3 linked regions of the Macaca mulatta genome follow. The protein of the gene in region 2 binds, or shares a complex with, the protein of the main gene of each other region. Links are inferred from orthologs where the notes say so. Each region holds a gene or a part of one and is shown on either strand. Other genes may lie near its edges.

Evidence for each region.
Region 1: the proteins of PPP1CC (region 2) and MRAS are in contact, whole or in part, in a cryo-EM structure (PDB 7SD0), measured with the Homo sapiens proteins. The link is inferred for Macaca mulatta from reciprocal best matches to the Homo sapiens genes PPP1CC and MRAS. Residues at the interface, in NP_002701.1 of Homo sapiens: Pro178, Asp179, Gln181, Gln185, Arg188, Ile189, Met190, Thr193, Asp194, Pro196, Gln198, Leu201, Trp216; in NP_001078518.1 of Homo sapiens: Ala5, Ile31, Gln35, Lys36, Ile37, Val39, Asp41, Glu47, Asp48, Ser49, Leu51, Lys52, His53.
Region 3: the proteins of PPP1CC (region 2) and CDCA2 are in contact, whole or in part, in a crystal structure (PDB 5INB), measured with the Homo sapiens proteins. The link is inferred for Macaca mulatta from reciprocal best matches to the Homo sapiens genes PPP1CC and CDCA2. Residues at the interface, in NP_002701.1 of Homo sapiens: Arg20, Gly21, Ser22, Pro24, Lys60, Tyr70, Asp71, Leu73, Arg74, Glu77, Tyr78, Asp166, Lys168, Ile169, Asp242, Leu243, Tyr255, Phe257, Arg261, Pro270, Asn271, Ser284, Asp286, Glu287, Thr288, Leu289, Met290, Cys291, Ser292, Phe293; in NP_689775.2 of Homo sapiens: Lys391, Arg392, Val393, Thr394, Phe395, Gly396, Asp398, Leu399, Ser400, Pro401, Glu402, Val403, Phe404, Asp405, Glu406, Ser407, Leu408, Pro409, Ala410, Asn411, Pro413, Leu414, Gly417, Gly418, Thr419, Pro420, Val421, Cys422.

The regions. Positions count from the first base shown.
Region 1 is NC_133407.1:41,369,392-41,373,483, forward strand, and holds the start of MRAS (ras-related protein M-Ras), read left to right. Parts: upstream 1-1,286; 5' UTR 1,287-1,304; coding exon 1,305-1,497; intron 1,498-4,092. UniProt on the Homo sapiens protein: Signal transducer in the Ras-MAPK signaling pathway that regulates cell proliferation and survival. Core component of the SHOC2-MRAS-PP1c (SMP) holophosphatase complex that regulates the MAPK pathway activation.
Region 2 is NC_133416.1:117,922,744-117,926,920, forward strand, and holds the start of PPP1CC (serine/threonine-protein phosphatase PP1-gamma catalytic subunit), read right to left. Parts: upstream 2,804-4,177; 5' UTR 2,721-2,803; coding exon 2,666-2,720; intron 1-2,665. UniProt on the Homo sapiens protein: Protein phosphatase that associates with over 200 regulatory proteins to form highly specific holoenzymes which dephosphorylate hundreds of biological targets.
Region 3 is NC_133413.1:27,225,978-27,229,485, forward strand, and holds part of CDCA2 (cell division cycle-associated protein 2), read left to right. Parts: intron 1-1,298; coding exon 1,299-1,510; intron 1,511-3,508. UniProt on the Homo sapiens protein: Regulator of chromosome structure during mitosis required for condensin-depleted chromosomes to retain their compact architecture through anaphase.

The sequences.
Region 1 (4,092 bases), on a different chromosome or scaffold from region 2:
TCCACAGCAGTAGGATCAAGCTTTCCCTCCCTCGACTCAAGGTCCATTTTTGTGCCACCCAGGAATGCCCCAGCAGGAGGTGGTATTGCTTCTTCCTGGCAGGGTCCACAGTTAGTTAGCAGTTTAGGTTCCTGGCTACAACCCCAAATTGTTCTTTAGGGGATCCCCCTAGCTGCACCCGTGTTTAACATTTGGTGCTGTCAGCCTCCTTCTGGAAACTCTTCGCTTCCATCATGACCACGGATCCTGGTTTCCTTCCTTTCCTTCTGAGTACCTCCAGGAGGCTCCCTCCTGCCTCTCCTCCTTGTCACTTTGGGACACTATTTACAAAGGTCACTCTTCACTTCTGTTAAGGCCCCATTATTCTTTAGAGTTCTGGTCCCACTTCCAGCTGCCTCCTGGTCACCTTAGCTCAGGGTTCCTCAACCTCAGCACTATTGACATTTTAGGATGGCTGATTCTTCATTGGAGGGGACTGCCCTGTGCATTGTACGATCCCTGGCCTCTGCTGAACAGATGCCAGTGGTACCCACTCTATTTTGACAACAACAAAAAATATCTCTAGACGTTGCAGATATGCCCGGGGAGCAAAGTTCCCCTGATTGAGAACCACTGCCTTAGCTGGCCTCAACAGCATGAAAACAAAACTTCGACCTGCTCCTACCTGCCTCCTCCCCAAATAAAATGAGGTTGAACAGAAGCCGTAAGATTCCAGCATGACTTTGTGTATAATACAGGGCAAGAAGCAGAGAGAAAGGAGCCAGAATCTAGAACTCTGAAACTTTGAAGGAGCCTCAGAATCCCAGAACTCAGGTGTGCTAAGCTATCATGCCCCGCTTTCTAAGCTAAGACACAGCTTCAAATCCTTCTCAGCATAGCACCCAGTTAATAAGAGGGGATGTGAAAGACGAACCTCCATGCCAGCCCTGCTCAGACCACTGCCCTCGTGTTAACCTGTACAAGTAGAGTTTAGTGGCCAAAAAGCTTCTTTGACATGGCTTTTGGCTGTACTTGCTAAACAAGACCAGTGGTACTGTGTCCTCAACACCGGGCCTGGCACATAATTGGTGTTGAATAAATGATGGTTGAATAAATCACTTTAACAGTGACTGTCTCTGGGTAGTGAGACCAGGTGTAATGCTTTTATTTTCTTTTGCATTTCTTCATTTTTCAAACCTCTTTATAAGTGAGAGTATTTACTTTATAAAGGAGGAAGACACATGAATATCTTCCCCTAAGTTAAAAAGCCCTCTGTCTCATTCCACACGTCTTGCTTCCTTCCGCAGGTCTGACCTTCGAGAAACATGGCAACCAGCGCCGTCCCCAGTGACAACCTCCCCACATACAAGCTGGTGGTGGTGGGGGATGGGGGCGTGGGCAAAAGTGCCCTCACCATCCAGTTTTTCCAAAAGATCTTTGTGCCTGACTATGACCCCACCATTGAAGACTCCTACCTGAAACATACAGAGATTGACAATCAGTGGGCCATCTTGGACGGTGAGACCTGGGTGGCAGCCCTGCATTGGGTAGGATAGTAGATGGGGAGGATCGGGGACATTTGACAGGTTTCAGCGGGGCAAGGTGGTTTCCTTAATGTTGCTGTTACGGGATGGTTGGTATAAAGCCCTGTGTCATTTTCAGGGTGAATTCTGAACAGGGAAGGCCTGCGTAGAGGACTTGCAAGGTTTCATGGAAACCAAAATGTGCATTCAACAAAGAGGGGAGGCTAGAATCATGCCAGCTCAGCAATGACATGATTGTTTTCTCTTGCTGATCAGAATCTCTGATTAACAGTTATGGATGTCTTTAGCTAATAAAAGAGGGAAAAGCACGTTGTTTCTTAATGAACATAGTTTACTTGGTACTTGTATATATATTCCTTTGGGGGGAATCTCTTGCATCTGACATTTTGTTTCTAGCTGAGTGTGAATTAGTCTGGATTACTAGTTCTAAGTGTGGCAGCCAGGCCAGCGGCAGCCACAGCATCAGGAAACTAATTAGAAATGCACATTCTCAGGGCCATACTGATTTGGAAATTCTGAGGGTGAGCCCAACAGCCCGTGGTTTTTTTTTTTTTTTTTTTTTTTTGAGACGGAGTCTTGCTCTGTCGCCGGGGCTGGAGTGCAGTGGCCGGATCTTGGCTCACTGCAAGCTCCGCCTCCCGGGTTCACGCCATTCTCCTGCCTCAGCCTCCCGAGTAGCTGGGACCACAGGCGCCCGCCACCTCGCCCAGCTAGTTTTTTTTTTATATTTTTTAGTAGAGACGGGGTTTCACCGTGTTAGCCAGGATGGTCTCGATCTCCTGACCTCGTGATCCACCCGTCTCGGCCTCCCAAAGTGCTGGGATTACAGGCTTGAGCCACCGCGCCCGGCCTCAGCCCGTGTTTTAACACACCCTCTAGGAGATGCTTGAAATCAGGTAGCATTACATCTCCAACTTTGTTCTTTTTCAAAGTTATTTTGACTAGTCTAGGTCCTAAGGTATTTCTGTGTGAGTTTTAGAATCAGTTAAATTCTAAAACCCTAGATTTTGATTGGGATTGTGTTGAATCTGTAGATCTGTTTGAGGAGAATTGATATTTTAACAATGTTGAGGCTTCCAACCCATGAACACAGTATCTCTTTCCATTTGTTTATTTATTTATTTAGGTCTTCTTTAATTTCTCTTGTCAATTTTATTTGTAGGTTTTTTTTGTCTTGGTTTTTTGGTTTTTTTTGAGACAGAGTCTCACTATCACCAGGCTAGTGGAGTGCAATGGTGCAATCTCGGATCACTGCAACCTCTGCCTCCTGGGTTCAAGCAATTCTCCTGCCTCAGCCTCCCAAGTAGCTGGGATTACAGGCACGCATCACCACACCCAGCTAATTTTTTTTGTATTTTTAGTAGAGATGGGCTTTCGCCATGTTGGCCAGGATGGTCTCGATCTTCTGACCTCATGATCCACCCACCTCAGCCTCGCAAAGTGCTGGGATTACAGGCGTGAGCCACCGTGCCCCAGCTTATTTGTAGTTTTGAGTGCATAGGTCTTCTACGTGTTTTGTCAGATTTATACCTGCATCTGTATTGATGCTATTGTAAATTTTTTTTGTTGTTGTTGTTGTTGTTGTTGTTGAGACAGAGTCTCGCTTTGTCGCCCAGGCTGGGGTGCAGTGGCCAGATCTCAGCTCACTGCAAGCTCCGCCTCCCGGGTTCACGCCATTCTCCTGCCTCAGCCTCCCGAGTAGCTGGGACCACAGGCGCCCGCCACCTCGCCCAGCTAGTTTTTTTTTTATATTTTTTAGTAGAGACGGGGTTTCACCGTGTTAGCCAGGATGGTCTCGATCTCCTGACCTCGTGATCCACCCGTCTCGGCCTCCCAAAGTGCTGGGATTACAGGCTTGAGCCACCGCGCCCGGCCTCAGCCCGTGTTTTAACACACCCTCTAGGAGATGCTTGAAATCAGGTAGCATTACATCTCCAACTTTGTTCTTTTTCAAAGTTATTTTGACTAGTCTAGGTCCTAAGGTATTTCTGTGTGAGTTTTAGAATCAGTTAAATTCTAAAACCCTAGATTTTGATTGGGATTGTGTTGAATCTGTAGATCTGTTTGAGGAGAATTGATATTTTAACAATGTTGAGGCTTCCAACCCATGAACACAGTATCTCTTTCCATTTGTTTATTTATTTATTTAGGTCTTCTTTAATTTCTCTTGTCAATTTTATTTGTAGGTTTTTTTTGTCTTGGTTTTTTGGTTTTTTTTGAGACAGAGTCTCACTATCACCAGGCTAGTGGAGTGCAATGGTGCAATCTCGGATCACTGCAACCTCTGCCTCCTGGGTTCAAGCAATTCTCCTGCCTCAGCCTCCCAAGTAGCTGGGATTACAGGCACGCATCACCACACCCAGCTAATTTTTTTTGTATTTTTAGTAGAGATGGGCTTTCGCCATGTTGGCCAGGATGGTCTCGATCTTCTGACCTCATGATCCACCCACCTCAGCCTCGCAAAGTGCTGGGATTACAGGCGTGAGCCACCGTGCCCCAGCTTATTTGTAGTTTTGAGTGCATAGGTCTTCTACGTGTTTTGTCAGATTTATACCTGCATCTGTATTGA
Region 2 (4,177 bases):
GGTGGGTTGCAGAGGTGATGCCATTACTTACAGAAACATTCAGGAGTTCAGAAAAGAAAAGAACTGCAAAGTTAGTGACTAAGATCTAAACCAACATGCTGTTTTTCTTAAGACTTCACTTTTCAGTTAGCTTTTTAGTACTATTACTGAGCTACTTCTCAACTAGCTTATACTGCTCTCAAGCTTAAAAGATCAATTCTGAACACGTGAAAAAGTCTACCAAGGTCACAAAAGTCATATTGCCTCTACTTTCAGATATACTTACATCTTAAAGCATTTAAGGGGAAAAAAAAAAAAGGTTTTGGGGGCATTACGAAAAGCACAAAATTCAGGCCGGGCATGGTGGCTCATGACTATAACCCCAGAACCCAGGAAGGCCGAGGTGGGAGGACTGCTTGATACCAGGAGTTTGAGAACAGCCTGGGCAACACAGTGAGACTCTCATTTCTATTTTAAATTATTACATTTAATTTTTTTAAAATAAAAAACTTGTAAAGCACAGAATTTATTACCAACATCATTTAACTTAGATATCTACATATCCTCAATGGATCATCTTCAAATGTTTCTCTGCCAATTTAACACCCACGAGAAAAAAGGAAATTTAAGTATACTTTGCAGTTAGCCTATTCCCAAGGCATTAAAATGCACTGCTTTCTTAATTTCAGCAAAAAAAGAAATATAAGAAAACCTGGTTTTCAAGTGCCATATAACAAGAGGAACTATTAAGAAACAATGATCTCATTTTAGATGTATCATTATTTACTAGGCAAACTACTTATTAGGATTGTAATGATTAAAATTAACAAAAGCTATTTATGAATCCAGAGGCAGTTATGGGCAAACCAGAACTTAAATTAGCAAGCCTTAGATGATCTTAAAATTCTAATTTAATTAGATTTAAAATTCTAATGTTTCTAATCCATGCAAATTCCAACTTTTCCTGTTTCCTCAGAGAAATAAAGCCACACATATCCCTGCAGAGATAAGCAGAATTTTAAAATTTAGAAAGAAAATATTTAACAAAAAATTCTTTTCTTACAGCAAACTATTTTAATCAGTTTCTGACCAACTGCTGCCTCAAATAACTATATTAACTAGCATGAAAAAATATGGTTCTTATATAAATACCTGACATTAAAGGAATGACAAGGTTTTCACCTACAACACAAGGTTTTCACCTGCAATAACATTTCAAGAGCATTTCAGGGGTCCTTAATGACATTTAGTGTTTTTTTTAAAGACAGCATAAAAGGAAAGAATGCACAGATTAAGAAAAGGACGAGATATTTTCAGAGTTTCATTTTAATAACTTACTTTAAAAGATCTGCAAATTCTAACACTAGAGCTGTCATGCCCTCGACTCCACCACTCACAGCATTTATAGTCCAGTAATATTTTAGGACTACATAAAGGCAAAAAGCAGTTAAAACTGCCAAGTTCCCATTATGAAGTGTCCAAGTTAAGGGGTATGACTGAATTCTTACAAAGTCTTGGATAAGATGTTAGCATCTGTTGACATGCCCTTGAATCTGAAAGCAGCTCATTTCAGCTTCCGTCTTTAAAAGCTGAACCTCGCCCCTCTCCCACATCAACATGAATCAATTGCCAGGCACCTCACCAGTCTTAGATGAGCCGAAATTTAAACCTTTCTATTAACCTTTACTAAACCACTGGCCCCCTTCCTTCAGTGTTGTCTGTAGCGAGTTTTACTAGCTCCTGGCTATCTGGGTTTGAAACCCAATTCACTAACTGTGTGACCTTGGTTAAGTGACTTCATCTCAGTTTCTTCTGTAAAATAACAAAAACAACAAAAAAAAAGCAAATATCTTGCAATGGGTGGGAGAATATGAAATCTGTGTTAAGTGCTCAAAGAATGCTTGACACACAGTAAGCCCTTTAGAAGCGCCAGTTATGATTATTACAGTAATAATTTCATGGACGCAAAGTGCTCAAGACAGAGCCTGGCACATTGGAAAGATAACGATACCGTCAGCCTTGCTGACTTCCTGTTCAGATGCACGTTCAGGAAAAGAGCGCGGAGACCTCTCCAAGATTAGAATAACTTAAAAGGATTTGGAGGGCAGGCGAAGACAGGTTCTCACACCTCTTGAGACATGAACGCTTGTTACCAAGTAACAAGAAATGGGCCCCCCAAGACCCCAGAACCACGAAAAATAAAAGCAAGCAGGAAAAGAGCCCCCAAACCCGGTGGAACTCACGCCCTCATCAAACTGCCTTCCGTGAGGACGAGCACCGAAAAGTCCATCTCGCACAGTACGGCGCACGCCGTCCAGGAGGCTGGACTGGGGCCCCCAGCCCAACAATCGCTCCAAAGACCCGTCTGGTGTGCGGGGGCAAACGGGTAGAGGCGGGAAACATGGGGGTGGGGAGCGGAGTTTTCAAATTCCACGGCCGGGAGAAAGCCTGCATCCTCGTGCAATGAATGAGTGGAGCCTGGAGGGTCCGCGGCTGGCGACAAGTTGGGGATCCCAGGCTGGCCTCCCTCCAGCTGCAGCCCCCGGCCCGTGGGCCAACTCGAGAAGCTCACTTCCCACGGTGCTGCAAGCCCAACCGGCCTCCCAACTCCCCTCCCTCGAGCCCCCGGGGCCGCCTGCCGCCCTCGGGCCCGCCTCCCCCTTCAGCCGCCCGCCGCCCCCCTTACCTTCCAGCAGCCGTTGGATGATGCTGTCGATGTTGAGTTTGTCTAAATCCGCCATCGCCTTCCCACCGCCGACCCTCCCGCAGCGGCGCCGCCGCCGGCTCGCGCCCGGGACTCACACCTCCTTTCCCACGCCACGAGCAGAGGCGGTGGTGGCGGCGGTGGCAGCAGCCGCGGCGGGTCCCCCCCCTGCCGCCCCGCTCCCTGCTTCCTCCTTCTCTCCCCACTGGAACCACGAGAAGAACAAAATGGCCGCCGACTCCTTAGACAGCCTCGGGCGGCGCACGGATGCACGCGGGGAGTGCAGCGGCCCGGCCGGGACTTCTTTATGGGCCATAGGGCGCGCGGGAGGGGGCGGGGCCCGGGCGCGGGAGGGGGCGGGGCCAGGGCGCGGGGCGGGGCGGAGAGGTTGAGCGCAACTGCGTCCACGCGCGGGATCCTTCCGCCAAACGGGCCGAATAAATAGGCCCGCCCCCGACAGCGGGCCCGAGAGTGAGTTGCAAAGTTGCATGCGGGAGTTGGGGCTGGGGGAGGAAATGCAGCTGTGCATACTGCCGGTTGCGGCCATCGCCGGATCTTGTACGTTGAGGCTAGATGTTTGCAGACCTGGCCATGTGGGAACTCACCGAGGGATTTCGGGGGTCCTGGAATTTACCCTTTAAGATAAATCTGGGGTGAGGATGGAAAAGGAGAATAATAAATAAAAGAAGGTTGACTTATTTTGGATTAAGATATACTGGAACTTGGGAGAAGAGAAAGGTTTATTTGGTAACTAAAAAGAAAAAACCCTCTTCGAGATAAGTCAAAATGTAAGTTACTCTTTGTGAGTGGTGGGTGTATGGGTATTTGTATATATATTTTTTGTGCACTTCTGTAACTTTACTTTGGAGGTAAAAAATCCGTCCATAAAGAAAATTTCATCATTTCTCTCCCTTGGATTTCTCTTTCCTGAACTCGGAAAGTTATATAATCATCGGGACGGTTATCCCGATTCTAGCCAGGGCGAAGTTGAACGAGCGCGTGCAGCAGTTGAAAGGGGAATTTGCAGATTTCACGCGTGCAGGCCAGGGGCGGGAAGAGAAGAGGCAAGCTGTGCGGGCGGTCCTGGGTTCTGCAGATACCCGAAGAAACTTTGGCCCATTCCTCTCTGGCTTCCCAGCCTCCCCGAGTGCACGCCTATCCAAGGGGTCCCCAAACTGTGCCACCTCCAGGGGCTGCGCATCGACTTTGGCCGCGTTTAGAAGTACAGCCCACACTCAGCAAACAGATCGGCTCTCTTTCCTGACCTTTCCATGTATGTTGCTTCCTGCAGCGCTTTACATTTTGCAAAGCCCTGTCTCTCCGAGAAATTCATTTTGTTTCCCAATGAATGCAGGATGCACGAATCCCCATCTCAGTATGCCACGAGGTAATTGCACCACCCAGGCATCCTCTTCCAAAGCAACATCCTCAGGGTGAGGGCTCCATGTCCTCTCAGTTGGGCCCCCTCGCTACTGGTGCAGGGCCCTTGAGTTT
Region 3 (3,508 bases), on a different chromosome or scaffold from region 2:
TCAGCTCTCTTGTCCATGCCCCCTGTTCCAGCCACAGCAGCCTTGCTGGGCCTCTGCTATGCCAGGTACATCTTTACCTCAGGTCTTTGCACTTGGCTTTGTGTGCATAGTGTCCATTCCTAAATCTGTGTGTGGTTCACCTCGTTCTATTCAGGTGTCTGCTCAGGAGCTCTCTGTTTACCCAAAGCAGTAGCACTTCCTTCCAGCTTATCATACTGTATTCCTCTCTTGCTACATTATTTTCTTTAATAGCATATATTAACTACTTGTTGTGTGTGTGTATATATATATATATATTTAGCTTTTTATTTGAAATAACTAAATTTGTTATCTAGTTGTAAGAAATAATATAAAGAAATCCAGTATTCCCTTCACCTAGTCTCCCCCAGTAGTGACATGTTGCATAGCTACAATATATTAATATCACAACCAGGAAATGGACATTGCTACAATCCACCAACTTGTTTTCAGATTTCACCAGTTTTACATGCACACACTTTTGTGTATGTTTAGTCCATGTGGTTTTATCACGTGTGGATTCATGTGAGCACTGCAGCCAAGCCACAGCGTGCGGTTCTGTCCTGAGGATCCTCATGTTACTCTTCATAGCCACCACTCCTTCCCTCTCCCTCCTTCCTGCTGTGAGATATTATAATCCCTGCTTATTCCGTGCTGGTTGATGGAGTGTGCTCGTCTTTACTTCTTCAGCACCCAGAGGAGTGCCTGCCACATCGTGTATTTCTTAAATGGATCACTTAATCATAAGGCAACGTTCTCCTGTGGGAAGAATTTGGGAAGAAAAGCCATGCCTATTTGGGGCACATGCAGTGTGTTTGTAGTTTGGTGTGATGATCTTTCTCTTCTCGTTCCTGCCACCCTCGAATGTTGACATGCCTGTGACTCTAGCAATAAAATTGCTTATTAGTCAGTGCTTGGCTCAGATTAGTTTTTATGGTCCAAGTAGTAGGTGTCATGAGTAGAAGCACACTAATAGCTTATAGCTGATTCATGATACCTTCTTTCAAACTCTGACTCAGAGATTTCCTGGGGAGCCAAATCCCCATACCCACTTTACCCTTCATAGTCATATTTGAGGTAAAAACTGACCAATGCTGCTTCTTTACCTCCTTTTTTCTTTCCAAATGAAATCCCAGACGTTACTGCCTAATCAGGTTATATTAGGTTTGAATTTCTTCATAGCACGTTATTATCTTTGCAAATACACAATATATTTTTGGTCTAGAACAAACAGATTTAAGAGATCTTCCACCTCTCAAGTTTACATGTTTATCTTGAAGCACTGAAGGTTGCTGACTGTGTAGTGGGCAAAGGATCAAGCGATGCCGTTTCGCCTGACATGTTCACAGCAGAAGTGAGCTCAGACGCAGTCCCTGATGTCAGGTCACCAGCTACTCCAGCGGGCAGGAGGGACCTTTCCACCCCTAAGACCTTTGTACTTCGTTCTGTACTGAAGAAACCCTCTGTTAAGATGTGTCTAGAGAGCTTACAGGTAAGAAGAGAGTTAAATTTCCTAAAGCAAATGAATAAAAATGCATTTTCGTTCAAAGTAATACCCTTGAAATGTCATATTTCATACTAGTTTAAAAGAAAATGTCTTACCTGTCTTATTGTGAATTTTTTTCCTTATCTTTTCTTATTGACAACACTGTGTAGTTTCTTTTTGTTCTTATTTTTTAAAAATTAAATATAGTGTATAGTATGCAGAATTTAATATAAGTAGACTGTAGTTTATAAAGGGTCATAATCTTACATAATCTTATTGCACTAACATTATTGATTTATATAATTATATAAGTGATATTGATTACTTAATCATAATTAATGTGTCAGTCTGTTAAACTGATTATTCCTCCCAAAATATTTGGTCTTAAAAGTACCTCTTATAGCCATCCTTTTTTCTCTAAGCCCACTCAATGTGAGGAAAGAGGAAGTTGATAGGAACTAGCTGGCATTTATTGAGTAGTTTCTATTGATAGTTCTGGCATATATATACAGCAGTAGTGCTCCCAGAAAGGTATAGGACCTGTTTGACATACACTTAGGCTTGTAGGTTGTTAAGTGAACCCAGATAAGTCTGCTGTTAAAATCCGTGACAGGCTGTCAGTCCATGAGAGGTTGAGAGCATAGCCTCAGGAGTCAAAATGCCAAGTTTCAGATCTTGACTTGGAAACGTAGTCACTGAGCAAATTATTTGACCTTTCTGTGCCTGGTTTCCTTATCTATAAAAATGTAAAGTTAGTAACTACTTTTCGAGTAATTTGAGCATTAAATGGGATACTATAAAATCACCACGAGTGTCTGGCACCTCAGAAATACAAATCTTTTTTTCAAACGATAAACATTTTAACATACAAGTATGCCTACAAGCCTATTCTGATCTGTTCTGAAGCCAAAAGGAACTAAATTACCTTCTATTTACGTGGATCATTGATGGTCAGTTGCTATTTATAAAGCTTTAATAATTTTGGTTAAAGAGCTGATTTGTGGCCAGGTACAATAGCTCACACCTGTAATCCCCTGACTTTGGAAGGCCAAGACTGAAGGATCGCTTGAGCCCAGGAGTTTGAGACCAGTCTGGGCCAAAAAAAAAAGCTGGTTTGGATCTGTAATACACACAGCGCTGTTTGTTCATATCTTCTCCTCAAAAAGACAACATCTGAATGATCCGTGGAACTCTTATTTTATAACAATATGACACAGCAAGTATTAAGTTTTGTCATTAGAATCATATGAAAACACAACTGGCCGGACGTAGTGTCTCACGCCTGTAATCCCAGCACTTTGGGAGGCCAAGGCAGGTGGATCACGAGATCAGGAGATAGAGACCGTCCTGGCTGACACAGTGAAACCCTGTCTCTACTAAAAATACAAAAAATTAGCCAGGCGTGGTGGCAGGCGCCTGTAGTCCCAGCTACTCAAGAGGCTGGGGCAGGAGAATGGCTTGAACCTGGGAGGCAGAGCTTGCAGTGAGCCAAGATTGGGCCACTGCACTCCAGCCTGGGCAACAGAGTGAGACTCCGTCTCAAAAAAAAAGGAAAACAAAACATTTACAACTAATGATCTTTATACTAAGATGGCAAAAATTGGGAGGCATATAAATTGTGAGTTGTTTGCTGACTTTTCTGATTGTTTTAGTTAAAAATAAATCTAAAAGTAAACATGAGCTTTGTTGTATAAGTTAACTTATTTTGCAGTATTTGGTATGTGCATTTTCCTGGTCAGAAAAATGAACTGACTTGAGAGACAGATGAAGGAGGTTTATTTGGGGCAAGATTATTTCTTAGAGCAGGTACTGTTCTTAGAATTGGATGTACAGGAGAAAATGAGGAATTCTTGATAACAAGGACTGGTCAGAGGTTTAGGTTGAGGCTAGACGAGTAGGTGGTGATTAAGAGGGAACTTTGATCCAGTCTGTAGGCCTGGCTGTCTCCTGCTGAGCTCCAGGGGCCCTGTGTTTAGGCTTGTTCTGTCTTTTTCTATGGGGCTT